Rattus norvegicus: one gene and its partners. The protein of the gene in region 4 interacts with the protein of the main gene of each other region in a pairwise test. Links are inferred from orthologs where the notes say so. Each region holds a gene or a part of one and is shown on either strand. Other genes may lie near its edges. The genes, in order: Leprotl1, Pln, Cyb561, Eda, Dolk, Emp3 and Mal.

Region 1 (3,500 bases), on a different chromosome or scaffold from region 4:
ATGAGGGAAACAATACTTGCGCTTTCTCTGATGGGGCAGAGGGAATGACTGCTTCTACCACACGGAGTGGAGCTAGACTCCACCCTTCTCTCCACCTTTCCAGAGCTGGAGGTGTGACTCTGGGTGCAAGTCTGCCCTTTCTCCTCTTTCACACTTTCCCAGCTACAGAGGATAAACTAACTTCTCACACATCTACGTCAATGGTTCTCAACCAGGCAGCATTTCAGATATCCCGCATTTCAGATATTTACGTTATGATTCATAAGCAAAATTACAGCTATGAAATAGCAACAAAATAAGTTTATGGTTGGGGTCACCACAACACGAGGAACTGTATTAAAGGGTCGCTGCATGAGGAGGGCGGAGAAGCGCTGGTTTCCGGTTTTACAGGGCAGGTCCAAGGATGCACAGCACAGTTACTGTGCCCTTCTGCTACAGACCCAAGCCACGCCCTCCGACAGTTGACAGCAGGAACCAATGGAAAGCTGAGGTCTTAAAGCGCCCTCTCCATCCTAACATCTCTCACCTCACTCTGCACCAGATGTGCTCTGGCAAATCTGACATAACGCCTCTCATCTCTGGTATAGAAGCCTTCACGGAGCATGGTGACTCACCAGATGTGCCCTGGCAAACACTACAGGGAGCCCAAAGGCCGAGACGACGACACCTGTGGTGAGGAATATGGCGAGCTCCTTACAAGCGTTGCTCATGGCGTCTGTGTCGTCCACCAATCTTCTGGCTATGCAGTACGGAATGGGCGAGAGGATGTAAAAGAAGAGAACGAAGAGGGGCCAGTATTGGCTGGAAAAGAAAACGGAGTCAGTGGCCGTGCAGTCAGCCGTGTCGCCTTCCAACACTGACTATGCTCCTGTTGTAGACCAGAGGACAAGAGAGCAAACAAGATGCCCTTGAAAACAAACCCGCAGGCTCATGTGGGAAGCGCGGTCAGCTCGCCCTGTGTTCAATTACGGCACAAGAATAAAAATGTCTACTGACAAAATGCTTTGTGAACTGAAGCCCCCTCAAGACATTCACTTTAGCTTCTAAGAAGGCATACTGAAAACAAGACATTTACACAAAATCTTTTAAAGATTGGTGTCTTATTGTAATGTTAGTGCACCCATGATTCCTCTCACTGAAACCCGAGTATAGGTGGTAACAGAAGACAGTATTGAAAACCACAGGCTTAGTCTGTCATCGTGAGCCATGCTGTGCCGATGTCACTTTCTGGCTTTGGCAAGTGCAGTGGAAGAAGCCGTGTGAAAGGATCCACCTCTTTGCGATGGTTCAACAGTCTATAGAAACAAAGGCCTTTAAAGCCGGCAAGCTTGATTACGGACACAGTGGAGACTTGTTAGAGCTATCTGTTATGCTTTCTTTTTAAAAAAAAGATTTTTTTTTTGTTTTGTTTTCATTTTTCTAGACTGGGGTTTCTCTGTGTAGCCCTAGCTATTCTGGAACTTGCTCTGTAGATCAGGGCGGCCTTTGATGCAGAGATCTGCCTGTCTCTGCCTCCCAGTGCAGATTCAAGGCACGCACTGACACCAGGCTAGGAAGATCTGTTTTTATTTGAGTGTTGTGCATGACTGCGTGTATCACGTGCATGCAGTACCCGAAGAGGCCAGCAGAGGGTGGCATATCGCCTGGAACTGGAGCTACAGATAGTTGTGAGGCGGCAGGTGGGTGTTGGGAAATGAACCCAGGTCCTCTGGAAGCACTGAGCCATCCTTCCAACACAAATTTAGCCATGGTGAAACTCTACATAATACCATGTATATATAGATTTACAGTCCTTCCTCATTGCTTAAGGCTAAGCATCTTGTCACAAAGACACCCAGTCATTTGTTCTGGGTGCGCATGTTTCCACTGTGCTGGTGTGTGTGCATGTTTACCGTTATGGAGGCCAGGGAACAACCGTGGCTGCTGCTCCACTTCTGTTTGAGGAACTGACCCCAACGGCCTGGGGCTTGCCAAATAAACAGGCATCGAGTTCTCCGCCTCCCTAGCTCTCTACACTCTGCTTCTGCAGGAGGGGTTGGGGTTTTATTTTTTTTATTTTTTTTGGTTCTTTTTTTCGGAGCTGGGGACCGAACCCAGGGCCTTGCGCTTCCTAGGCAAGCGCTCTACCACTGAGCTAAATCCCCAGCCCCGGGGTTGGGGTTTTGAAATCAGCCCTCACCCTTACACAGCAGGCAGTTTCCTAGCTGCGTTAACCCTCCAGCCTCTACACTTTACACTTTACACGTGTGAATGTGTGTTCATGTACACAGTGTGGGCGTCAGAGAAGACTCCTGGAGGTCAAGTTTTACCTACTGCATTGTTGAAACAGCGTCTGTGTTTGCTGATGTGCACGCTAGGCCTCCTTGGCCTGCAGCGCTCACAGGTTCTTTCTGTCTTCACTTTCTTCTCCTCAGGACACTGGGATTGCAGACGTGTGCTCCCACACTGGGCTAGTACACAGCGTCTTGGGATTTGAACTTACGTCCTCATGTCTCTACTGCAAGTGTTCTATCCACTACACCATCTCTCACCTCATAATTTAGCTGTGGATGGGCATTTATGATGTCATCAGTTTTCCAGCTTTGCTATTACATGTATTATATATAAAATAGTATGTTTTGCTATTTACTCGGCAATATTCTCACCCAACTCTGTGTGTCTTGCAAGCAACTGTAAGTGGATTTGTATGAGGATTTCTAAGAAGGGGAGGGCCAGTTCAAGGAACTACAGGATACAGGCAAAGTAGTTCCAAGAAACGGCAACTCCTCCCTTTCTAAACCCCTGCCCGCTTAGTCCTAGCCTGCCAGAACCCAGCAGTGCCCGCCCACTTCCTTTACCTTTGCTAGTGGATTTCATGTAGTACTGAGTGGGATTTGGTATGTTTCCACTTGCTTATTAGCGGCACAATTCTCTTGCGATTTGTGGCCCACTTCTATTCAGTTTTTGAAAACTAAGTTCCTTAAATATTAATTTAAAAAGTTTTCTGTACTGGGCACAGTGATGTATACCTGGAATTCGAGAACTTGAAGGCTGGAGTGGGTTGACTGAATGACACTAGCCTGGGCTACCCAGGGAGACAATGCCTCAATAGAAAGTTCTTCCCACTCTAGGGGAAGCAACTACCTAGAGCTGGGTCTAGAAGCTGCCTGTGTTGCCTCCTGTAAAGGACGCTTTAGGCTTTGTTGGAGGATTATCGAGGGCAGCAGGACTGAGTTTCTGTCACCAGGTCATTACAGAAGCAGGTCACAGCCAAACCTCTCTCTACGTTGGCATTCTAGAGTCTTTACAAGTAAACTGTAAGTGAGGATCTTCAGAAGAGGATCATGTCAGTAAATGAATGTTTCCCGGCATTTCTTGTATGGTAGAACTCAAAGCATGCTAAACACTTTAGTAGAAGAATTTTACTTTTAAGCATTCAAAAAGAAAACAAAATGACATACTTGTATATTGGAAGGGCACATCCAAGCATCAAAAACATCAGTCCGATAGCTCCTCCAAAG
Region 2 (3,500 bases), on a different chromosome or scaffold from region 4:
CTCAATAAATCAGACCTTGTTGTCTCTAGACAGTAAATAACTGCACTTTATTTTATATTCTTGTTTTAAAACTGATTGTAAACAGTATTCTTAAAAAAAAAAAAAAAAAAAAAAAAAAGTACCAGCCCTGGGAACTCCTTCACTCAGTCAGCAAAGGCAGAAAGGAGGCCTCCAGTTTGAGGCCAGTCTGTTCTGTGTAGAAAGTTTTAGGCTAGTCAGGATTACCTAGCAACACCCTGTGTCCAAACAAATAAATAAATAAAATGTTAGTGATAAACAATAATAATCTCGAAGTCAAAGCAGCCGCTGCCTCTAGACAGCTCACTGGTTTATTTTAAACCTGTACTAATTTTCTGTTAATAAGCTTTATTTGGTCAGCAGTGGTTTAAGAGCTTGGGGAGGGGGGGACACAACCCCACCCCTGGCCATCAGGATTAGCTGAAAACTGGAACTGTCTGGGATAGTTCAGAATCATAGCCCTTACTGTGCCTCCTCCCGAGCTTGGCGGTCTTCAGCACTTGACCACCTTGTTGTTTAGAGTAGCACTAACCAGGAGGCTGTACCTGGGAGGAGTCAGGAGGATATGTATACGATTAAATGCACTGTGTGATTCCACAAAAGCATAAACCATAAAGGAAAATGGCAAGCCGCTAGAACCTGTTTACTTCATATTTAACTTTTCACTTAACCATTTTATTTCAAACTAAAACTAAGATCCAAGATATAAGTTACTATATGCATCTTGTTATGATTAGTTCCGAAACATTTATAATAATAAATGTTCATACCAATTGTGTTTACAGAGAAACAGTTTTAAAAAAAAACAAACAAACAAACAAGGAAACCGTCCCAAAGAAGCATTCCATGAATCAAGTAATAGGTGCCAAACCTCCAGCCCCTCCGCTCACCCAGGACGAGTGCTAACATATGAGAGGAGCAGAGAGGCTGGGGCTGTAGACAGTGATAAAATACAGCACTGAGGAACATGAACCGGTACAAAACTGCATATCTATCCAGAGAATGGGTTTAGTATGAACCTAATCCTTTTACTATTTTTACATTCCAGGCCTCCTAAAAGGAGACAGCTCGCGTTTGGCTGCCTGCTGTCAACTTTTTATCTTTCTCTTGACTACTTAAAAAAGACTTGTCTTCCTACTTTTGTCTTCCTGGCATCATGGAAAAAGTCCAATACCTTACTCGCTCGGCTATCAGGAGAGCCTCGACTATTGAAATGCCCCAGCAAGCGCGTCAGAACCTCCAGAACCTCTTTATCAATTTCTGTCTCATCTTGATATGTCTGCTGCTGATCTGCATCATTGTGATGCTTCTGTGACAAGCTGTCGCCACCGCAGACCTGCACCATGCCAACGCAGCTTACAACCTGGCCCTCCACCACGAGGGAGGCAGTGCCGCCGCCTTCCTGCTGGACATCGTCGTGAAGGTCACGATTAAGAGTGAGACTGATGGCAGCCAGTGTGATCATCGGCTGGATCTTGTAAACTTTACCACGACTAAGTGTGCACAATGTAGCTGCCCGTTTCCTCAGTGTGGCTCATAAATGTCTTTCCTAAATACTTCTGACATTGTAGTATGAGTTTTAATTTTGAAACAGCACTACAAAAAAAGTTCACTTTCTATATCCAGCACTAGAAAGTTCAACTTATAGCTTCAGTTTGGGGAATAAATGAAATTTAAACTGCGTTGCCACCACTTTTTTTTTATAGGAACTAAATATTCTTCAGGTCTGCACAAAGTAGAAAATAATAATTTAAATGAAGTGTTCTTATTCAAAATAGCTCACTGGGTCCTCATATAGACGACGATGACGATGACCATGACGATGACAATGATTCAGAAGTCATGGTCATTACTGTCAGAACACATACCTTGAAAAAAGGTTGTGCCCTTTTTCTAAACACTAATTATTTTTAAGCTTATGAGAGTCAAATAGGGAAATGTAAAAGCATATTCTCATATAAAAATCTTCACTAATTTTTCCACTAATTGTGGAATTCAAGCACATTTACATTAACCACAAATGTGCTCTCTCTAGGGTTTGACCAGCAAGCAAGAACATCTTACTGTGTGGTTGCGATAATCACTAAAACATCAGAACCTCACCCGAAGGTTGGCTTGGCACAGATCTCCTGGGTTGTGCCGGGCTTCTCCAGATAATAAATGATAACAACAAACCAGACAGCTGTGCTGGGGTACAGCTCTCTTCCTGCATCCCCCAGAGAGGAGAGGCTTGCTCTCCTAACTTAAAAACTAGAGATTCTATTTTACAATCCTTACTAATCACGGTTTCAATTTCCCTTTCTAAATTCCTAATATCTCTCAATAAATACTAAAAGATTAGGAGCTAAAAACTGTATTGGAAAACATTCACCAAAATTTAGTTAACTTAAGTTATCCAATACAAAACAGTTCACACCTCTCCTGTGCACTCCCACAGTTCACACCTCTCCTGTGCACTCCCACAGTGTTAAGTCCAGCTCAAGGCATTCTACCAACACAGCAGCTATTAGGAGAGTTATAATTAGATATATTTTCCATAATGATTACTACGAAGATACGGCGCATCAGTATTCACCTTGGTCCCTAACAGAGCAGCTGAAGGCATGCTGATTCGAACTGTTTGAATCCCTGATAGAAAGGAAGATGTCTGGTTTCAGAAATTATCCAAAGAGTAGCCCACAAAGGAGTCCCACGTTAATAGGCGTCTCTTCAGAAAAGGCTGGGGGTGAGGGTGCCCATCACAGAAACTATAAAACATGGATGACATAATCTCTAAATCAATGTTCCCTTTGTGATGCTATGACCCTTTCATATAGTTCCTCATGTTGTGGTGAAACCCAACAATAAAATTATTTTTGTTGCTATTCCATAACTGTAATTTTGCCTCCACTATGAATTGCGAATATTTGTGTAGACAAAGGTTTGCGTGAGGGGTTGCAACGCACAGGTTGAGAAGCACTGGTGAATGGTCTGCGGAATTATGTACAAGTGCATAAGTTCGTAGTTGCCATGCTGAGAGGAAAAGGAAGGTGAAAAGCGCCTGGCCCTTTACATTCTCACTACCACACCAACTGTCAACTCATAAGTTCTTCTCATCAAACATTTAATGTTTAATGCCTTTTACATTTCAGTAGTTAAATGTTTATCTATAAAATGCAATAAGAATGGCCTATATTCAGATGGGATTATGATTTTGGTGCAATTGCTATACAATTAAATGCTATTACTATAAAATGTTGTCATTATAAAGAGTTTTGTGTTGTAAAGGGCAGAGTGGGGGGCACTTTCCCCAAATAAAGTAGAAATCAAGATTTCCTAAGACAAACATGAGAGGGTGGACGTACATACAACAGTACTGCTTAGCCTCTGGTTATTTTGAATCTTCTGGCAAAGCAGGAAAGCAATCAGTCACATTAGAAGATCTGGTTATATGCTATACCAGGTTTTTAATATCTTGAAAGTACATGATAATCCATATAGAC
Region 3 (3,987 bases), on a different chromosome or scaffold from region 4:
CGTTCTAAATGTGCAAAAGCTGGAGTCACAGAAAAGAAAGCAGTGCCAGGCACCTACAATCCCAGTACTCAGGGGCTAAAGCAGGAGGACTGCAAGTTCCAGGCCAGCCTGGGCTACACAGGGAAACCCTGCTTCAAAGACAAAAATTATTGACTTCTCCTGTGCCTTACAGATACTCAGGAATCCTTTAATAAAAATGGGTGCCCCCAAGGCTCTGGACAGAACTGCTCTGCCTGTGGCAAGCCCAGATCTGTGAGCTTTAAAGGGGGTTCTGGATTGTTCCTTTGTAAGCATGTGCGTTTGTATCATGGTCCCTGGTCACCCCTACAGTGAGAATGCCCTACCCTTCCCTGCTAATGCAGATGCTGTCACTATAGGCTGTTCCTACCTCTGTGTTTCCAGAGCACAGTGGTGGGTTATCGCTCCTCAGGCTGGAAATGGCCACGCTTGACCCTAGGTTTCCTCTGCTCCCCCAGACCTGTGTTCTCTCTCCTTTTCCCTCCCTCTCCTTTCTCTCAGAACATGATCTCACAGTGGAACCCAGGCTGGCTTCTAGCTCGACATCTCCCTACCTCGGCCTCTTGACACGCCACACTTAGTTCAGAGTTTTGTAAGGAACTGGTGCTCACGTGGCCTCTCACACGGCTGCTCTCCTTTCTTTCTGAGAGTTCGGGGTGAGGTGACAGATCTCTGGGCTGTGACAGTCAAGTAGAAACAATCCAAACTCCACAGGCCGCCTGCAGACTGGCTCCGCTTAATGCAATCACACAAGGACATAGCTACCCTCAGGGCACAACCTGTGCCTGGCTACCTGTGCCTGTGCCTCTCCAAGCCCATTGTGTTTTATTAAAAGGCAACCAGGCCTAACCTCATTATTGGTACCAGATGCACAAGCTGGACAACCCAGGGGGCCGAGCGGAGCGCAGGGAAGTTGCAGGGCAGCAAACCTGCCTTGGCCACAACCCTCCCTATCAGCAGCAGGCTTTAATTGCGTTAGCAAAGACTGGTGGGGGCAGGGATTAGAGCTTCCTTTGATGGGTAGGACGTGAGAAGACAAAAGGCAAAAAGAAGCTGGGCTGTTGGAGGGGGCACCAGGGTGCGCCAGGAAAAAAAATCACCATCAGGTGTGGCCTCTGTACCAGAACTGGCCAATAGTAAAAAAGTAAAAGAGTTTGTAAAAATAAACATCATTAAATATCATTATTTAATTTTTATGGAGAAGGGCCCCATGAATGTCAACACCGAAGGCGTCTAAAGGTTACAGCGCAGCCTGGGCCACAAAGATGTAATCCAAAGTGTGTTCCCCTATTTACTACTGTGTACAATCAGGGAGGTCTTGTCCATTCTCTGAGCTGGCCTCCTCAGCCATGGTGGGGGAGGGGGAGGGACCTTATTGGACTTTGGACAAGTAAAATGGGGAAAATATGCACAAGTGCTTGGCACAGTGCCTGCCAATGAAACAGCAGTTTAACAAAAATGGTATCTCCTTAACGTCATAGTGGCGTCAACTGACTCGTGAGGATGGGGCCACAAAAGAGCCGGGGGTACCACAGTACAAACCCCTCCTGCCCACCACCAACCCATTCCCCCATAGAATAAAAACTTCTAGGGCAAGGAAGACTGTCGGTCTGCCTTTAGTTCTTATTTGCGTGGGAGTGAGAGGTAGGGGGGAGGCTAAATCCGTATCTCCCTCTGTAGCCCAGCTGGCTTTAAACTTTCGGTCTGCCTCCGCCAGCCTCCCACATTCTAGGATCACAGCCTCTTGTCCCCAAGGAGGGACCTAAGTGGTAGTTCTAATGGTTGGAATTTTATATTCCCACTCGTACTCCAATGAATTGTGAGTTGATTAGAAAATGGAGCGTGAAGCCTGGCGTGGCATTTAATCCCATCATTCAGATGTGACTGTGAGTTCATGAAGCCTGGGCTCTGCCCACCCAGGGACTGCGGCAGGGCAGGGCATCTGTGGGCAATTCTACTTCTGGTTCCAGGAGCTCCTCCTACAAGGGGTGGGGTTGGAACCGTCCAGTACTTTCCCCACCAGATCCAAGTGCTGAGGAGTGATCAAGGTATTTAAGGGAGGTGAGAATACTTTGCCTTTTGTTTTGCTAAGAACAGGACAGAATCCAGGTGCCCGAGACGGAACTCTTCCTAAAGAAAACTGCCAAGACAAAAAGAGGAAGGACATGCCAAAAGGGTCTGTGTCTGCTGATGCAGCGCGGGAGGAAAGGTAGTAAGGGTAAGAGAAGTGACCGGAAAGGGGAGGTGGCCTGGCTACCACTCAGAGGAGTCAAAGGCGGCAGCAGATCCCTCTCTCCGAGAAGTTCCACACCTGCGTCACTTCCAAGGCCAAAGCACGGAGCCAGGCTTTCTGCCAGTCTAGTAACTGGTAATCCTGCCTGAGGACGGTGGGATACGGGAAAAGATCCACCAGGCCCGCACCTGAGCGCAGGAACCAGCCTCGGGGACAGTGGCTGCAGTCGTGGCGAATGCAGTTTGGTCCACACCCACCCACTTTGTTCTACAGTACAGCCACAGGCCCCTAGACTTGAACTAGGGTCACCAGCAGTCCCCATTCTAACTCGGGCGGACGCGACCCGCGCTCCCCCGGCCGCCTTCCCCGGTGCCAGCAGCAGGAACCCCCGCGTCAGGGGACAGGCGGGGCAGTGCCCCGGTCGATGCGGGCAGGTGCGCGCGAGAGGGCGGCTCGAAGCCCAGCCTCTCCTGGCCCCAGTCTCCGCCGCCCCTCCGCGCGGAACTTGTCCCCGCCGCCCTGTCGCCTACCTGGTCCCGCCGCCGCCAGGCCTGCGCGCGTCCCCGCGCCACGCCGCGCCGCGCCCCGGCCGCTCGGCAGGTTCCACGGGCCTCGGCGCGACGGCGTCGCCATGGAGACCGTGCGGCGGCGAGACGCCGGCAGCGCGCGCGAGGAGGTGACCGTCACCTGCGCCGGAAGTGCCGCCTGGCGCGGCCACTCGGGAGGGCACCGCGGCTATACCGACCCGCACTCCCGACCCGAGCTCCAGCAGCTTCGGGACCGGCGTGCGGAGAAGGCTAGCAGCGCGGGTTCGGCGCCCGGGTTCCCGGTCATTTAGCCTCTCGCTCTCTACTCTCGCCTCGCCAGAACCCAGGAGGCCGCTAGGTGTCAGGCCCGGCCTGGGCCCCAGCTCAACTCGGGGAACCCAGGGTCACCTCTCCCAGCCCTCGTGGGCGGGGAGGGCACTTTACATTTTACTGGAAGGCTGGGAATAACCCTGCCCTTCCCGCCTCTGCACACCCACCAGCCACATCGACACTGTTATTGGTACAGTTTGCCTCCCTTTTTTTTTTCCACTCCAGGATATAGACAGAGACAGAAGAGACACCAATCTAAGGGGTAGATTCAGTCCTTCCAACTTTTCATTTAAGGCCTAGACCTGATGTGCCAAGGTCTGTACTTAAGACTGTTGCCAAGAGCAAAGCTGGGAGTTTAGCAGATCCTGGCCCGCTATTCAGGAAATGCTACGGGTAGATAAGCGCCCAGCTCAGACTTCCTACAAGCTGGGAACAAAAGGTTCTTTCCTGTTGGATGTTTGGCCAGACTCACAAAGAGTGGGAGAGAAAGGGGGTATTTTACCTTGTGAGGAAAGCATGGCTATAGGACAGCCCTCCCCCACGAAGGCAGTAGCCCTGTGCTGGGAGCGCCCCACAGGTAGAAGACAGAACTGGGGAGGGGGTGCCTTCTTAGAGGGTGAGTGTGCTGTCTAGTGTACGGTTGAGATAGAACCAAGAACCGGAATTACGTTAAGGTAACTCTTCATCCGACAGAAGCTAATGGACATTTTAAGGTAAGCAGCTGCTTCCTTGGTGTGCTAACCGGCAAACAGCAGGCAATAAATACATGCTTATAAACTAAACATGGAGCTGAGCCATTTCTCATTGTTTGGTGGGTGTATTTGGGCTTCTGGGAGGAAAAGGAGGGACCGATTTGGCAAGATGGAATCTTGTTTAAGT
Region 4 (4,229 bases):
TTTATATGTTTGTTTCTTTGTTTACATGCTAAGGCTAATATTGTCAAAAGAAATAAGTTGAATCTGCGATAAAATTCCTTCAGTGAGCTAAAATTCTCCTGAAAGTGAAATTCAAGATGAATAAGGAATACATGGTTAAACTTAGTCTTCCCAAAATTAGAGCAGAACAAAATGACACAGATCTGAGCCCTTCATTTTGTAAAAAGCCTACTATGGAGCTCCAACCTGTTGTCCCTTCATTCCCCCCCCTTCAAAAAAAACCTTCTCAGCAGACACTATATTATGGAGGGGTGTGTACTAAACTGGAAGATGGGAGAGCACCTTCATCCTAGTTTTGACTCAGGCTATGATATCTTGGGCCACTTACTTCTCCCTTGAGGCCTGTATGTTCTCCAAAGGAATCAGTAAAATAGACTCAGGTAGTACCTTACAATCTGGAAAACACAAATTCCAATTAATGCTAATAAATGTAAAGAACTAGTATTGCTTTGATTGCCCCAAAAGACTAAAGTAGACTAAAGGACAGCAGAGAGGAAGCTGTGCTGAAACACGTAAGCATATCTGCTACACCTGGGGCAAGCAACCGAACGGCATTGCAAAGCTGTGAGTCCCATGCCGTCACAGAAGCTAGAATGCTGCTGTCCTGCCAATCTATAAACAGGGCTCTGTCTTTCCTGATTGCTCAAAATCCTTGAGCACCATTTGAGTAAAGAAGTTAAATTTCCTGATTGTATGTATGTATGTATGTATGTATGTATGCATGCATGCATGCATGTATGTGTGCATGGATATATGTATGTGCAGAATATCAATGTGGAGCTGCTAAGTACCTCTACTGGGATGGGGGGGGCAAATAAAAGACCCAGAGTCTCAATTAATTCTCCTTTAGCCCCAGTGTTTAAAGTTTCAAGTATGAGACGTCTGTCTGCTGATTCTCTTCTTTGATAAGCTGTTAAATAAGTTTGAGTGTCTTTGACATTTTAGGTCTGGGGCAATTTTACCAAGCACATTGTAAAAGAAAAGAAAAGGAAGGAAATGGAAGGAAAGAAAAGTGTCAGTCCTGACAGAGTATTGTTATGAATGTGATGGCTCTAAAAGTGTTCAACCCGTTAAGTCAAAGTAGCACAAACACTGTTTAAAGAGTTGTGACAATAACTATGTATGTAGCACCAAATACAGAAGGCTTCCTTGCCTCACCTCAAGTAAGTTACTTACACAACTTGCCGTTTCCTCCAGAAGTTACAAATTCACCATTAGTCTTTAACCACCTCAAAAAGATCCTTGGATGCTTTGCCTAAGATTCAAGTGTGAGACATCTATGGGAACCACAAGAAGGCTTAATATCAAGTACACTAAATTTGCTTGAATAACGAGTTAGAAAAACAACCAAGATAAAGGTTTGCTAAAAGGGATACAAACACTCTAAAGATTATCAAAAGCAAAACAAAAATCCAACTTCCTGTTCCAAAGGCAGCATTAATGAAAACTCTTCACACCCACTGCACCCAACTCCATCCACAAGAGTGTCAGAACCGGCATGCAAAGGGTGAGTTTTATTTCCATAGATTTTTCAAATTGCTGTTCAGAAGTTGTCTAGCAAGACGGCATATTTCTACCAGAATTCCTCAGGGGCACTGATCCTCACTAGAACGCAGAGGAGAATCGGTCTCAAATTGCAGGTGAAAAAGCTCAGGTCCTGGTCAGCGCACAAGAAGCCAGCGCTGAAAGTACGGTTAAAAGTTGTTTCAACGGGCGTGGAACAGTTAGTACAGCTGTTTACAGCTCCAACTCCAAAGAGGAGCCTGCTAGTGCTGGAATCAGCCCGGGACACGAAGAAACAAGCACCACGGGCAGAGAATCTCACCAGGGGGCACGAGGGGCCAAGCTGCTCGCCGTTAGACGGCCACGGGGGTGGCGCAGACACCTCCGCGCCCGGATGGGTGCAAGGCAGGCCAACTTTTCGCGAAGCAGCCCACACCCCCCCGGGGGCGGCGCGTGCAGGCTGGGCTTTCCAACTCCACGGGACCCGAGAGGGTCTGGATGAGCCAAGCTAGGAACCGAGGACAACCTGCCCTGGACAACCTCTCCCCAGCACTCTGGCCCACTCCCAGCTCCTGCCTGGAACTTGGCTCTGAGTGGCAGAGTCCCCTGAGCCCTGAGGCCCAGGCCCCCGCCCAACCGAGCAGGGGAGGGGGCCTCCAAGGCCGCCGCCCCTCCTAGGTGACTCACCTGGTGCCGGTCCTGGGAGTCAGGGGGGAGTGGATCTTCTCCTGGTTCCAGGGGCTGCTGTTGAAAGGACGGCTGCCCGAGGTGGCGGGTGATGGGACCCACAGGGTCGAGGCTCCCAGGGCTGCTTAGGGTGCCAGAGGTGCCAGGAGCACCCGGGCCACCGAGGCGGGACTCGGTTCCCCGTTCCCGCCGCAATTCGGACCGCAACTCTAGGTAGCAGCACAGCGTCAGCAGGTGGAGGGCCAGCGAGAGGCCAAAGAAACCCAGGAAGAGCCGGCAGCTGTTCCCTTCGCCCGCCCGAGCAGGGGCCCCGCGACAGCCGCAGCCCTGGCTGCCCCGCTCCCTTGGCGCTGCAGCAGGCAGGGGTTCCCTGCGCTCTACCTCAGGGTAGCCCATGGCCTCCAGAGACAACCACTATCTGAGGCCCGGGAGCCACTGCCTCTGCCTCAGTCCTTCACGACCCCTGACAGGCGACTACTGTCCTGCCATCGGCTGGGGGCTGCAGGGACCCGTTCCTGAGCGACGGTGGCTGGGCGGGACAGAACAGGGAGCAGCCGCATGTGCAGCTCCACTCCGAGGGGTGGGAAAGGGAGGAGGAGGGGCGGGCGAGAGGGGCGGCGCGGCCCGAGAGGGAACGAGGGAGGAGGTCCTCACCTACCCCGCCCCATGCCTCAAGGGGCGGCCGGGACGCCCAACCACGGGCCCGCCAGGCCTGGCCGCCCCGCCCCCTGCCGTTCCACTCGGGCCTCCAGCCGTGGGGCGGGGCCTGGGGGCGTGGGGGTTCACCTCTGCCTGGCAGCCCCACCCAGCTCTTCCCGCTTGCCCCGTTGCAGTTGGTGAGTGCGGCTGTCGTTCAGCTTTGGACTCCACCCCGGTTTAACCCTTCAGCGCCGCTATGGGGGAGGGCGGGAGGGGGAGGCTGAGAAGAATTTGGGAACCTTGGAAAGAACGTGGAGCAAAGAAAAGGAGGCAGAAACTAGCATTAATAGAAATGTTTGCAATTAACTGCAGTTGCTAATAACATCATCCAGTACTTATCTGTTGCTTTCAATCTTCAAAGCGTTTAACAGACGTTAAACTAATTAAAACAGTTCAGGGTTTGGAATGAAACCATGCCTGCTGTGTTTGCAATTCAATGGCTCGCCAGAAGAAAAGGAGACCTAGGAGCCTGGGAGCCAAACAGACTGGGAACCTGGCTGCCCCACTCCCAGAATGAGTCTTGGGACACAGTCTGAGCATAGAGAGGGTGCCTAGCGCCAAGTAAAACTGAAGTGATGCTGTCCCTTGAAGGCTAAAACGGTTTCCTAGGATTTCTTGATATATTAATTCATTCAAAAGATATGCATTGATCCCTTTCTCAGTGCAGAAAGTGCTGTGTGAGAGAACCCGCAGCCAAAAGTTTGTCTTCTTCCAGGGCTGCAGAAGTTTTGGAAGAACTCGAGCCTTCGAGGAGCAGGTGGGGAAACTGAGGGTCATGATGAGGTGAATTTTTACAGGGGTGGTCCACAGAATGGCCAGACACTAATGGCATCTGTACTCACAGGCAACTGTTCTGGCCTCTCCACCCTTCCCATGCTTCCCCTGGAGTACTCCCTGGGGTAAGTTCAACAAGTCAGCCAAATGTTCCAGATGTACACTGCTGCAACTGCAGCATCTTCAAAAGCTGCACCAATCAGAAACAGGGTCAGAGGGGAAAAATGGCAAATGTCAGAACAATAGACCTGGAAATGAAGGATGGAAAAGATTAGTTGTCAAGAGTCACAATTGACAAGCATTAGTAGTCTCAGATTTTAGAGAGCTAACTAGCTGTAGCAGGACAAGCATCCACTGTTTTAGCCAGTAGGTACTCTCATTTCCGTGTAATTGAGAAATGAATAATTATCCATTTTTATTAACTTGAAGCAAGTATAGTAAAAGCCACTGAGAAGGCTCGGTGATGCACCAGAACACTTAAGGCTAGGCCTAAGACGTAGGCTGATAAGGGAGAAGAAAAACAAAGA
Region 5 (4,011 bases), on a different chromosome or scaffold from region 4:
TGTGCGAGAGCCAATATGCCCATGTGAATGTTGAAAGAAAAGTCTGTGGACTCAGTTCTCTCCTTTCACCTTTGTGGGGGTTCTAGGTATTAATCTCAGGTCCTCAGTCTTGTGTTGCAAGTATTTGTATCCACTGAGCCATCTCACTGTCACCCAGGCTGAATACTTTAGATACTTTACACAGCTCCTCTCGATAAAGACTTCCAGTATCCAGAGAGTCAGCCTGTCATTATTCCTATCTTAAAGACAGAACAATTGAGGCTTAGACTCTCTTAAGGCCATACAGTTAAGCTGTATGGCCAAGGATTCTGATCAGATTTATTTGACACAGAATACCCAAGCATTAAGCTTTCTGTTCTGCTGCCTCCAGGGTGTGCTCCAGCCATGCCCTACCCAGATTATAAAATGGGGGCTCTGCAGCACATTCAACTTCCCTGAATTGGTGTGTATGCCTTTAGCCTTTTTCTGTATTTTAAATATCAGCAACAATAAAACCAGGAAAGCTTTGCTTCTTTATTTTAAGTCTGAATCAACTTTCTGGCTTCATCTTCTGGGAGGAAGCTAAATCTGCCTTTCATCCCTTAGTTCTTGGTGTCCAAGCGGCTAGCTGCTGTGAGGACCATTCATTCTCCCAATTTCCGTTCCCCCATTACAGCTGCTATTCGGTACTAGGCCATCAGCAAAATCAGTAGGTAGAGGGGCAACAGGAGATTGTCTATCTGAGTTGTGTATGCTTCCAGAAGCGACACAGTGCTGATGGACCCCAAAATCCAAGCATAGCTGTAGTTCAGGTCTACTCCACTGTCAAAGATTAGGATCAGAGCCACAGAGATGATTTGTGCAAATATAGATGTCATAGTTCCCTCGAATGTTTTCTTAGTTCCAGGCCAGCGGATCTCCCCCATGGTGCTGCCAAATATGGAGGCCACAGTATCGCCCACACCCACAGCCAGGACCCCAGCATAGGGGACCAGGGCTCTTGCTCCTCCGAGGCTGCCCTTCTGTGCACAGGGTCTGGGGATCAGCCAAATGGGAAGAGACATGCCCAGAAGCAGGTAGATGTGCGTCAGGATGAGGGGCCCGCTGTCCCGTTCATCCAGGAAGAGGGACAGAAGGCTGCGCAGAGTGTGACCCAGGGGCTTGATTCTGAAATAGCGCACATACTCCAGGAAGATGAAGACGGCCAGACACACGGTGGCGGCCACATACAGCAGTGGCCGGTCAAAGATGATACCGGGGATGTAAGTGGCCACCACAATGAAGTGGAAATACTTTCTGGTAATGGTAGGAGCCTTGTGCTTCTTGGACTCAGAAGATGACCGCTTGGCATTCTGGTACAGCACCACCAGGCAGGCCATGGTGGCCAGCAAGGACCAATAGGCTAGGAGGTAGATGCGAGTTTCTGTGTAGAAGAGGAACTGAAGAAGCCAGAGCAGGGGGTTCCTACGAATGAGCCAGTGCAGCCAGGGCAGAACCACACCAAGGCCCAGCACACAGGTCATGAGGTGGAAGAAGATAGAAGAGGCCCAGGTGCCCGAATCCATGAAGACAAAGAGGGTGCTGAAAAAGACACCCATGAGCACCATCCCCACCACCACCACCAACAGGAAGAAGTCCACTGGGTCCCCCTGGCTTTCAGTCAGAGAGCGCTTGATGAGCTGGTTGAGGACGAAGCTAATGCCACCCAATACCAGCAGTGCCTCCCCAGGAGTGAAGCAGCGGGGCAGCAGGTACAGCAGGATCATGTTGAGATAAACGAATATTAGCAGGACTTCCAGGACCTCGATCACCTCGCCCACACTGAGCGAGTGCTTCATAATATAAATGATAATACCTCCGGCCAAACCCGAGATGGCACAAGTATTGGTGGGCACCGGGCGAGTAATGCCCAGTGCCAACACCGAGGAGAAGAGGGCCACTGCCATGCCAGTGGCTGCAACCACAATGCCGAAGCGCTCGAAGTATGGGTTCCCTGCAGTCAGGCAGCGCTCCTTCATGACCAGCCCAAGCAAAGGCATGACCATGGAGGCCGGTAGTAAGCCACTGTTCGCGGACATTCGGAACTGGAAAACAGCATTCCCCTGCTGGAGCAGCCGGTCCCACTTGTACTGGACGTAGAAGGCCTGCACTGCTAAGGCCACGGCGCACCAGGAGTATCGGTCCCACACTGCAGCGTGGATGCTCAGCACCACTGCGAACACCACTGCAGCCTCCGCCAGCACTGACCCGCTCAGCGCAAACCCAGACTCCGGGGCTTGGGGAGGGCACTGTCGGGTCATGTCTCTAGGCCTGGGTATCTTGGGAGAAGAAGCTTGGTGACTAGGGACGCCTTGGCTTCTGGAGCCCTCAACCCGCCAAGCTGAGGGGCAGCAATTTCACCCAGGCAGCGACCTTCTCCAGTTTCCAAAAGAGTGCTTCACCGCGGGCCACTCTGAGGCCTGGGAGCCGGCGCCCAGTCACCCTCCACCGCTTTCAACCTACGGTGTAGCAGATGTTTGCACTCTTCACCTCTTACAGGCTCCACTGCCACCGCCGCGGACTCGCCTCACACCAGGGCAGCGCCATCTTGACAGCCCCTTCCTAGCCACGCCCACCACCACGTGATTGAAAACCCAGGCCCCCGGTCTGGCGGCGCACGGTCACGTGGGTGCAGCGTATAGGGGCGGGGCTGGGACGCGCGCGCGAAGATGGCGGCTGCCGCCGGTGGGCCGTGTGTGAGGTACGGAGTGGGGCGCAGCGAGAGGGTGGGGGGTGGCCGTGAGGCGCGGGGTGGGAGCTGGGCCGGAGTTGGAAACGGGACCCAGCGGCAGTGACGGAGACGGGCCCGGGCTGGGTGGACGGACACTTGCCGGGGAGGCGGTTAGGTCCAAACCGTTCCCGCTCGCGGGGCTGAGGACACTTTTTGGAGCGGGCCGGCCGCTCTCCTTTCTTCGTGGTCCCTATGCCTCCTGTCTTCCCCATACACCCACGCTTCCTGCACTACGCTCCCTGTAGGCACTGCGGGATATTTCGGGGTCTTCTGGAAGATCCACCCCACCGCGATCCCTGCCTTGCTGTCCCTGTGCCCTGCACCGCCTCGGGTGTGCCTTGCCCACGCCGCGAGTTCTTCCCGCGAGCATCCTTAGTTCCCGCCTTCTTTTATTTTTGACTAATGCTGATATTGATTCAATCAGCAGGCATGCCTTCATCTTCCAAATGATTCCGGGTACTGTGCCAGGGTTCGGACACAAGATGAATTACCCCAAAACAAACATAGTTCTCACGGAGTTCGTTCGTTCTTTCTTTCTTTCTTTCTTTCTTTCTTTCTTTCTTTCTTTCTTTTCTTTCTTTCTTTCTTTCTTTTCCTTTCTCTTTCTTGTTTTTCTTTTTTGAGGTAAGATCTTTTGTATCACGTGCAGGCCTTGAGATCCCTGTTTTCTTTGCCTCCTTGGTGCGGAAATTACAGACATGGATTGCGAGAGCCCCACTTGCCTTTAAAGAGCGCTTACTAGCGCCAGACCCCGGGAAAGTGCCTTGCAGGCCTTATCTCATTCATTTCCCACAACTAGGAGACGCACCTCCTGTTACACAGGACTAAGAAGTCCAGTTCATACATAGTCAGTCCCCCTCGTCTGCCCCTCGTGATAATCCCCATGAGGATTCAGATCGAAGGCTCTAAAGCCTTAATCAGCCCTCTGTATGTATCCACGTTATAGATGAGAAGTGTCTTCACCTCTCCTCCTCCCCTAAAATGTAAACATTCCCTGTTGCCCGGAATTGACTCTGCTAGTTTTATTTGCTATTGTTCCCTGCTGAACCCTTAAACACCCAGACAAACATGTAAATATCACATTGCCTATCTCTCTCTACAGTAGCCTCTTCACCGTCCACGGGCAGCAATTTCTTTGGAGTTTTCTGTGGATAAAGTGTGATTCTTGTGGGGGCCAGTTTGGTTTTCTTCCCCCTGTTGTTTCATGCTAGGCCTTGTATCCACAGCTATGGAGAAATACTTGTATGAAAACTTTAAAAAAT
Region 6 (4,093 bases), on a different chromosome or scaffold from region 4:
AAAATGAGGGGGGTTCTCTGGGAATCCAGGAAGATGTTCCCAAAACCACCATGATTAACTCAGCCCTTTGCAGCCTGGAGCCAAAAAATTAAAAAAAACAAAAACAATAGAGTTGTGCTTTCAGGTCTTCTTGACCTCTTCATCCACCCACTGCCTCAAGCTTCAATTTATTTGACCTTAAAAAAAAAAGTGGGACCCAGGGTGCTGAGGCAAGAGGACAAAACATTCAAGGCCAGCTAGGACTATTTATCAAAACTTATTTCCAATTAAAAAATAAAGAGGCTTGAGAACCCATGCCCAGGACACACCACTGTGGAGCTGGGCACACGCCTCAGAGATGAGAGCCCATCTGGCATGCTGTAGGCCTTTTGTTGTAGCCCCAGTATTGAGAGAAGAGAGAGAGAGAGAAAAAAATCAACTCCTTGAACAAGTACCCAAGAAACTGCAGTTGGCTGATAAGATTCAGAATATTTCATGTGCGGGTCCTTTTTTTTTGTTGTTGTTGTTCTTTTTTTTTTTTTTTTTTTCGGAGCTGGGGACCGAACCCAGGGCCTTGCGCTTGCTAGGCAAGCGCTGAGCTAAATCCCCAACCCCTTGTGTGCGGGTCCTTTAGCTGACTCCATCCCTGGAACCCAAATCATTTGCCAGATCCTACTTCTCAAGCACTGGCTTGCCACAGAACCTCTCAGAACCGTAGCTGCACTAGCCGGTGAGGGTCACAGAGGCTGCTCTCAGGAGAGGGCTGGGGTCCTGAGGATGCTTTGCGTTTTGAGCCTTGAGTGGTCTACTCCCATTCCTTGCCTCCATCCCCCACGCTGGGGGGAAGTGCTTACTGGTGCAGAGCTGGCAGAGGCCGGTGGCGTAGAAGAGCCCTCCTCTCCGCATGGTGTAGAGTTGGATCATGAAGAGGATGAAGGACAGACAGCAGAGGATGAGAGACAGCACCATGAGCGCCTGCACTGCCTTCAGCCAGCCTACAGGGGGCGACACAGGGGAGGTCAGGAGCTGGCTAGACTCTACCCACTCCAGGTTCAGCCAGGCAAGCTTCAGGCATGAACATGTTACAAGGATTACGAGGTTTACCAGGCAAACATCCTACTGACGAGCTGCATCCCCCCCACCCCTGGCTGTCACTTAGAATCCTGGAGGGAGGCAACTCCATCTCTTAGAACTCTGGCCTTCCCCTACTCTCCCGCAGGTTCAATGAATGGCTCCCACATTCATACCGCTAGCTCCACTTCTCAGAACTTGGGGAGCTTTCTCCCCGTTCCTTAAGCTACAGCATGTGGCCTCCACCCTCTCTGGATTGATCAGAATAGAGGCAGTGCCTCTCCACTCAGACAAGCTGCCTATGGCTGCCCCAGGTTCTCACTGCCTAGGTTAGGCTCCCAACCCTGGTCCTGGCTGGCCTCTCCCTGCCCTCCACTATATGCTCACCGTTCTCACTGACGTTACTGCAGGCCCACGTTTTAGCGGTGGTGTTCCACGTGCAGTCATACCACAGGTTCAGGGACTCCTTCTCTGGGAGAGTCCACCAGGACTGGAGGGGACAGAGACCGGGGAGGGTGAGGTGAGAAGCAGGACAGAAAGATGTCAGGGAGAGTGGGGATTGGAGGCACCTGATGGGCCAAATGCATGGGCAAGGCGAGGGCAAAGGACCCAGGCAATGGAGAAGTAGGGAAGAGGAGGAGAAGGGAGGTGGGGGCTTAGAGATGGGCTGCAGCTGGGGTTCCCAGTGAGCTGGAAGCTTACCTTGTCCAGAGTGGCCACGAAAAGCAAGACAAGAATGAGGATGTGAAGGGCAGAGACCACCAACAGGAGGAGTGACATGGCTGCCAGATGCTGGCTCAGAGCAGGAGAGGCAAGCCTTCGAAGGGTCGGAGCACTCAATCCTGGGGGAAGAGGGCTGGGGTCTGGCTCTCTAAGTCAGAGAGGAAGGCTGGGGAGGACTGTAAGGTCTGAGGAAAGACGGCTTGGTTCGGGAAGTCTCTGTGTGAGGGAGAAAGGGAGTAGGCTGAGCAGTTCCTCCCTGGGGAGAAGGGTAAGCCCCGGGACTCCTGTGCTACTGGAGAGCATCCTAGATGGACTTTTGGGAGACAGGGGAATGAACAGGACTAACAATGAGTTGGGGCATCTTCAGAGCTCTGTCTCTAGACCATGTGGGTCGCCGTATGAAAGTTGAAACTGACACCCTTTCCAATCCATCAGGAGCAGGAATTGCCCCCAGGACAGGCATCCTTGACTCACTCACTCACTCTCTTCTCCTGGGGTGAGTCATGGGTGACTCATCCCCTCCTCCCTCCAGCACCAGGGAAATGCCAGCCCCTGGCTGAGTCTCTGTGGTCCTCACCCAACCCGACTGCAGACCCGAGGCTCCGGACACTCAGGGAGATGGATTTGAAGTAGGGAGGGTGAGGTCTGAGTGGAGAGACCACCTCCTACCACCCTTCAGTGTCCAGAGAACTCAGCCAGCCCTGGGAGCCCTCCTGCACCCCTTAACCTCAGGCGGGAGTGGAAGACCTCAGGGAGAAGCCACAGGGCATTCTTCATGGTGGGCTCTGCTGGGACCACAAGTCTCATGGGCGGCCCTACCCCTTCCTGTATTCCTATCACAAAGGCTGCCAAGATCACTTCTTCAATTACCAGACTTCTCCTCTGGAGCTAAGAGCAGAGGGCTTCTTCCTGCCTGAGGTGCCCCACCCATGGTGCCATGCTGCCCAGTAAATAAAGTCCCATCTGAATAACGGATTGAAAACTTACCGAGAGTCGCTGAAGAAGTCAGAGTTGGAGTCTGTCCTCGATTGGGCCTCTTGCCCCGCCCTTCTGCTCCCTCCTTCCACTCTGAGGCCCCCGCCTCCCTCACCGCCTTCCTTCCACCCCTTAATACCCACCCTTCTCCCTCTGCTTTCCCCCTCCCTCCCTTTCTCTCTCTCCTCTGGTGGTTTTCTGCTTCTCTCGATCTCAATATATCCCAACCCTTTTATATCCACTTTAGCCTCGCCCAGCTGAGGTCTCCAGTCAGGGGAGGGCACAAATTCTTGGTTCCTTATTCTCTGCCCACCCAGTCACACAGTAGGCATGTTCTGGGACCTCCTTTCAGGACTCAGATGAGAAGTCCTTGGGGCTCTGGGGTGGGACATGTTACCTCCTTGAACTGGATGCCTGCTCTCTTTGATGAAGTTTGGAGCAGAGTAGATGACACAAGCAATCTGGAGAAGACCAGATCCCTGTGACATAGATCAAACTTTGGGCCGACTCATGGCAGGACAAAAAGTATACATCTATGGAAAGGGGCAGGATTTTAATGAATGCCTTTAAGAATGCCAATGTTGCTATTTGTAGGTCGTGTGACCTGGGATAGATTATTTCACTCACTTGGGCCTCAAGTTTGCTAATCTGTGTAGTGGGTATAACACACACACACACAGTAAAGAAAATAGAGTGATAGCAATAATGACTAGGTGGGCAGATGCTAATAAAAAAGGATAATCCTGGAAAGCCTCTTGGAGGAGGTGATATTTGACCTGAGTTGTTTGGACACTAGGGAGAAAAGAAAATGTCCCAGGCTCAGAGAAGAAACCTGTGCTATTTGGAGAACAGACAAAAGGGCCAGTGTGGCTGGAGCACAGGGAGCCTAGGGTGTGGTGAGTGGGACATCAGAGGATTCACTTGGAAATTCATGGAGGAATCAGGATTTTACTGTAAGTGCTGTGGGAGGCCATTAGAATTTTCACAGCACTCTAGTCCCAGGGTTATAGTGTGAACTATTATAATTTATTCTCAGGGCACTGAGTTAGCGGGTGTGGGTGATGACGAGTATATCTGCATCCCTTGGTAGCGGACCAAATCTTAGTTCTGATGAAGTTAGGAGTGGGGACCTGGATGATGAGAAGTGTGAGCATCCAATGGGGCCAGAGCTGATGGGTGTCATGACCTAAGCCTGCAGAGGTGAGGACTAGCTAGACTGGTGATTAGATGGGGAGCTGGGTACCACACAGCACAGATTTTGCAGCCACTCATTGGCTATGTGATCATGGGTATTACTGATGACTTCTCCGTGCTTTTCTTCATCTGTAAAAGAGGGATGGCATAC
Region 7 (3,500 bases), on a different chromosome or scaffold from region 4:
GAAGCCCTTTCCTGTGATCTTCTGCCATAATTGCCCACCACGGTGAGAAACCTCCTTTGTCAACTTCCATCAACTCCAGAGGGTTTTCTGGCAAAGGAGCTCCACTCACTGCCACCAAAGGTCAGGGTGAAAAAATCTGAGCTTCAGAAACAGATCCCAATTAGGACCAGAGAGGGGAGCATGAGGCAGGCCGGCTGATGTACAGGAGGCTCCAAGATCAGGTGTCAATTTCCCATGGATCAATCCGGAGAAGACTGTGAATTGAGGTAGCTCTACTTTGAATCTGGTCCAAGTGCCACTTTATTGGTTCCAGCCCAGTGCCCCTAACAAATGAGAACCTCTGGTTTTTGATTCTAGCACACCTGACTGGCTGGGCATGCGCATGTCTATCCAAGCCCCAAAAGAAGATGTGGGGATAGAATCAGCTCTGGAGTGGATAAGTAAATAATGTGAAAGGTCTACAATGGAGTACTATACAGCACCATAAAATGCAATCTCCATCTCCATCCAACCACACTGATGACTCTCACAAGCATAAGGTTGAAAGACAGACAGATAGACAGACAGACACACAGAGAGAAACAGAGACAGAGAGAGGCTAAGCATAAAAGAATGAGCCTTGCATAATTCCACCTCAAGAGATGGGCAAAACTGAATTGGCTCTCTCTCTCTCTCTCTCTCTCTCTCTCTCTCTCTCTCTCTCTCTCTCTCTCTCTGCGTGTGTGTGTGTGAGTAGTAGTATTCATAGTTGTAGTAGTAGTAGTAGTAATTCTGGGGATTGAATCCAAGGGCTTGAACATTCCAGACAAATGCTCTACACTGACATATACCTCAAGGCCTATGTCCTAGTTCTTTAAAAAACAAATTGTTGAAAGTAAAAATATCTGTGTTTCTGAGGGAGGGTATGTGCATGTGAGTGCAGCGCCCATGGAAACCCAAAGAGGATGCTGGGTCCTCTGGACCTGGGGTTATAGGCAGTTGTGACCCACTGGATGTCATGCTGGGAATGGAACTCTGAGAGAGCAGTATTCTTTCTCAACTGCCGAGCCATCTCTCCAGCCCCAAGTGTCTTATTTCTTAATTATAGGAGCATTCATCTTCTGAAAATTCATCAGTACATCTGCTTGAACCTGTGCACTTGTCTGGGTGAAGGGTGCTTTTTGATAAAAAGTCAGAGAGGAAAGTTGGGCTGTAAGAGAGCCAGGTAGCGTTCAATCTGTTCAGTGGGAAGGGATTTTAACCCCATCTTCCTACATGTTTCCATCATGTACTGACTCAAACCACGTCTAATCTACAGCACACTGTTGTCCTGAAGACGTTTAGGGGAATTGTTGTCAAATGCTTGGATTTCTGTGAACTCAGAAGTCTTCTGAGTTAGGGAGGGGGAGGTCTAAGGTGCTTGTCCGATGGCAGATGAAACTGTCTCTATAGATGGCAGCAGAGAGGATGGATCTATGCTGTTTTCTGGAAACTCCATGTTGGGCAGTGTTCCGTGGCGTAGGACAACTGAAGAGGACAGGAACAAGATCCTCAAGGTGGCCAGGTTCATGTAAGTTGCTTAAGGGGACATGCAGCTTCTTTAGGGTTGCACAGTGTCCCATAAGGATGATGCTTTGAGGAACTTTCTGCCCAGACTTTCCCTCTAGATCCAGGAATAAGCACACCACCCAACACCCATCCCTGTGGACTGCACCCAACCTCTGTTCCACACTTTGAGCAAATGACACGGGTGCAGGCGTCTTTGGGATTGGCCTGATGCACAGCTCAATTTCTAGAAGCTGGAGAAGCACCGTTTCTAACTTTTGATCCTCATTTTTCATATGTCACCCATAGTTAGAAATAAGTTTTATATTCATGATTCTGAGTTAAGTGCATCAATGTATTGCTCCAAGGGTACCTACCACTCAGAAAAACATCTTTCTGAAATAACACAGCCTCTTGCTCCTTGTCATTTGGATCTAGCCCATTAGAAAGAAAACCCATTAAAAAAAAAAAGAAAGAAAAGAAAACCCATCCTTTCCTCAGTGTTCCTTGTCTTGACTGAATGTCTCTGTGGAAATGCTCAAGGAAGGTATGAGATCCAAGTGGCCAAACTCACTGCTCGAAACTGATACTAAAAGCCTGGGTAGGTGGTCAAGACCTTGGCTTTGACCCTTGCCTATTGTGGAAACAAATTCAGGCTGCCCGTCCATCTGTGATGTGGGTGTGACAATATCTCACAGGATTGCTAGTGAGGGTCAGATAAGAACACTTGTTGGGTACTTAGTGGTAGTCACCCCTCAGATGTCCACCCATGCACAGCCAGTCTGCCATGAGCTCCTGTGTCTACTGAACCTTGGACCATGCATCCCTGAGAAGACAACCAAGGGACTTTATGTCTCCTCTCTACAGCAGGCTGTGAGAGCCGCTTGCTCCGTGTGCTGCAGGGCAGGCCGCAGTGAACTTACCACTGCAGCGATGTTCTCATGGTAATGCCTGTAGGTAAAGCCATCGAACATTGTGATGGTGGCCAGGGCTTCCAGGACTGAGGCACTGAGGTAAAACAGGGCAGCCACACAGTGGTAGGCTGCATCCTGTGGAGGAAAAGGGTTGTGTCAGAGATGAGAAGGAAGAAACACCCCAACCTCGAATTACCTGCTCCCATCTTTGTTTCTGACCACTGCCTTTGAATCATACCCATACCCCTTAAGTCTACCAGCTTAATCGAGGTTTGGGGGCTGTTTGCTGAGTTTCCTTTCCCTGGGTAGATCACACAGGGAGCCCTTTAGTGGAAGAGGATGCTGTTTTCTCTGAGGTTATTACAGAGGGAGAGTTTATAGTGTGTGCTGATTGCTCTTCATTATTAACTTGAAAGGTTAGAAACTTCTCTGAGAGACACCTCTGGGTGTGTCTTTGAGGGTGTTTCCACAGAGGCTTAACTGAGGACGGATGACTCACCCTGAATATGAATGGCACCATCCCATGGGTTGGGGTCCCAGACTGAACAAGGAAGAGAAAGCTAGCTGAACACAAACATTCATCCTTCTGCTTTCTGATTGCTGGCAGATGAGATTAGCACCTCACCTTTCCTGCAGCTAACCCTTGCCCACCATGTTGGACTATACCCATAAACCATGAGCCACACAAACCCTTCTGTAAACTATTTTTTATCAGGTATTTTTCCATAGCAACAAGAAACAGAACAAATACAGGATTACAGGTAGAAATAAAAACTGGTTCTGGACCCCAAGACAACTGCCCATGCTACAGTCCTGGCTTGGATGCAGGCTCTTTGTCCAGGGAGAGAAGTCTGGGCCATTTCCACTGCTTTCATTTTGTTGTGTTGGTCTTATTTATTTCTTTTGGCTCCTGGTATATTTCAAAGCAAAAAGGAACTACGACAATGTTCTGTGTGGCTGTAATTTGGAAGTGATTTCAAAAGTTCAAGTAGAAAAGCCAGGGAGAGGTATCAGTCAAGTGGCCTGACCCTCCTTGGTTAATAATAAGCAAATCCCCTTGTA

The links.
Region 1: the proteins of Eda (region 4) and Leprotl1 interact in binary tests that used the Homo sapiens proteins (3 or more experiments, as listed by UniProt). The two-hybrid records come from large-scale screens. The link is inferred for Rattus norvegicus from reciprocal best matches to the Homo sapiens genes EDA and LEPROTL1.
Region 2: the proteins of Eda (region 4) and Pln interact in binary tests that used the Homo sapiens proteins (3 or more experiments, as listed by UniProt). The link is inferred for Rattus norvegicus from reciprocal best matches to the Homo sapiens genes EDA and PLN.
Region 3: the proteins of Eda (region 4) and Cyb561 interact in binary tests that used the Homo sapiens proteins (3 or more experiments, as listed by UniProt). The two-hybrid records come from large-scale screens. The link is inferred for Rattus norvegicus from reciprocal best matches to the Homo sapiens genes EDA and CYB561.
Region 5: the proteins of Eda (region 4) and Dolk interact in binary tests that used the Homo sapiens proteins (3 or more experiments, as listed by UniProt). The two-hybrid records come from large-scale screens. The link is inferred for Rattus norvegicus from reciprocal best matches to the Homo sapiens genes EDA and DOLK.
Region 6: the proteins of Eda (region 4) and Emp3 interact in binary tests that used the Homo sapiens proteins (3 or more experiments, as listed by UniProt). The two-hybrid records come from large-scale screens. The link is inferred for Rattus norvegicus from reciprocal best matches to the Homo sapiens genes EDA and EMP3.
Region 7: the proteins of Eda (region 4) and Mal interact in binary tests that used the Homo sapiens proteins (3 or more experiments, as listed by UniProt). The two-hybrid records come from large-scale screens. The link is inferred for Rattus norvegicus from reciprocal best matches to the Homo sapiens genes EDA and MAL.

What each region holds. Positions count from the first base shown.
Region 1 is NC_086034.1:64,750,648-64,754,147, reverse strand, and holds part of Leprotl1 (leptin receptor overlapping transcript-like 1), read right to left. Parts: coding exon 3,441-3,500; intron 2,673-3,440; exon of another isoform or gene 802-2,672; coding exon 615-801; intron 1-614. UniProt on the Homo sapiens protein: Negatively regulates growth hormone (GH) receptor cell surface expression in liver. May play a role in liver resistance to GH during periods of reduced nutrient availability.
Region 2 is NC_086038.1:33,178,994-33,182,493, forward strand, and holds the end of Pln (cardiac phospholamban), read left to right. Parts: intron 1-1,066; 5' UTR 1,067-1,174; coding exon 1,175-1,333; 3' UTR 1,334-3,248; downstream 3,249-3,500. UniProt on the Homo sapiens protein: Reversibly inhibits the activity of ATP2A2/SERCA2 in cardiac sarcoplasmic reticulum by decreasing the apparent affinity of the ATPase for Ca(2+).
Region 3 is NC_086028.1:91,385,637-91,389,623, forward strand, and holds the start of Cyb561 (cytochrome b-561), read right to left. Parts: upstream 2,801-3,987; 5' UTR 2,782-2,800; intron 711-2,781; exon of another isoform or gene 573-710; intron 1-572. UniProt on the Homo sapiens protein: Transmembrane reductase that uses ascorbate as an electron donor in the cytoplasm and transfers electrons across membranes to reduce monodehydro-L-ascorbate radical in the lumen of secretory vesicles.
Region 4 is NC_086039.1:69,117,391-69,121,619, reverse strand, and holds the start of Eda (ectodysplasin-A), read right to left. Parts: upstream 2,801-4,229; 5' UTR 2,626-2,800; coding exon 2,230-2,625; intron 1-2,229. UniProt on the Homo sapiens protein: Cytokine which is involved in epithelial-mesenchymal signaling during morphogenesis of ectodermal organs. Functions as a ligand activating the DEATH-domain containing receptors EDAR and EDA2R. May also play a role in cell adhesion.
Region 5 is NC_086021.1:33,955,142-33,959,152, forward strand, and holds Dolk (dolichol kinase), read right to left. Parts: upstream 2,540-4,011; 5' UTR 2,280-2,539; coding exon 669-2,279; 3' UTR 501-668; downstream 1-500. Other genes in the region: nucleoporin NUP188, read left to right, coding at 2,688-2,719. UniProt on the Homo sapiens protein: Catalyzes CTP-mediated phosphorylation of dolichol, the terminal step in de novo dolichyl monophosphate (Dol-P) biosynthesis. Dol-P is a lipid carrier essential for the synthesis of N-linked and O-linked oligosaccharides and for GPI anchors.
Region 6 is NC_086019.1:105,525,466-105,529,558, forward strand, and holds the start of Emp3 (epithelial membrane protein 3), read right to left. Parts: upstream 2,801-4,093; 5' UTR 2,761-2,800; intron 2,752-2,760; exon of another isoform or gene 2,644-2,751; intron 2,604-2,643; exon of another isoform or gene 2,521-2,603; intron 1,990-2,520; 5' UTR 1,831-1,989; coding exon 1,753-1,830; intron 1,541-1,752; coding exon 1,438-1,540; intron 975-1,437; coding exon 834-974; intron 1-833. UniProt on the Homo sapiens protein: Probably involved in cell proliferation and cell-cell interactions.
Region 7 is NC_086021.1:135,320,924-135,324,423, forward strand, and holds part of Mal (myelin and lymphocyte protein), read right to left. Parts: intron 2,574-3,500; coding exon 2,448-2,573; intron 2,010-2,447; exon of another isoform or gene 1,432-2,009; intron 1,205-1,431; exon of another isoform or gene 1-1,204. UniProt on the Homo sapiens protein: May be involved in vesicular trafficking from the Golgi apparatus to the cell membrane. Plays a role in the maintenance of the myelin sheath, and in axon-glia and glia-glia interactions.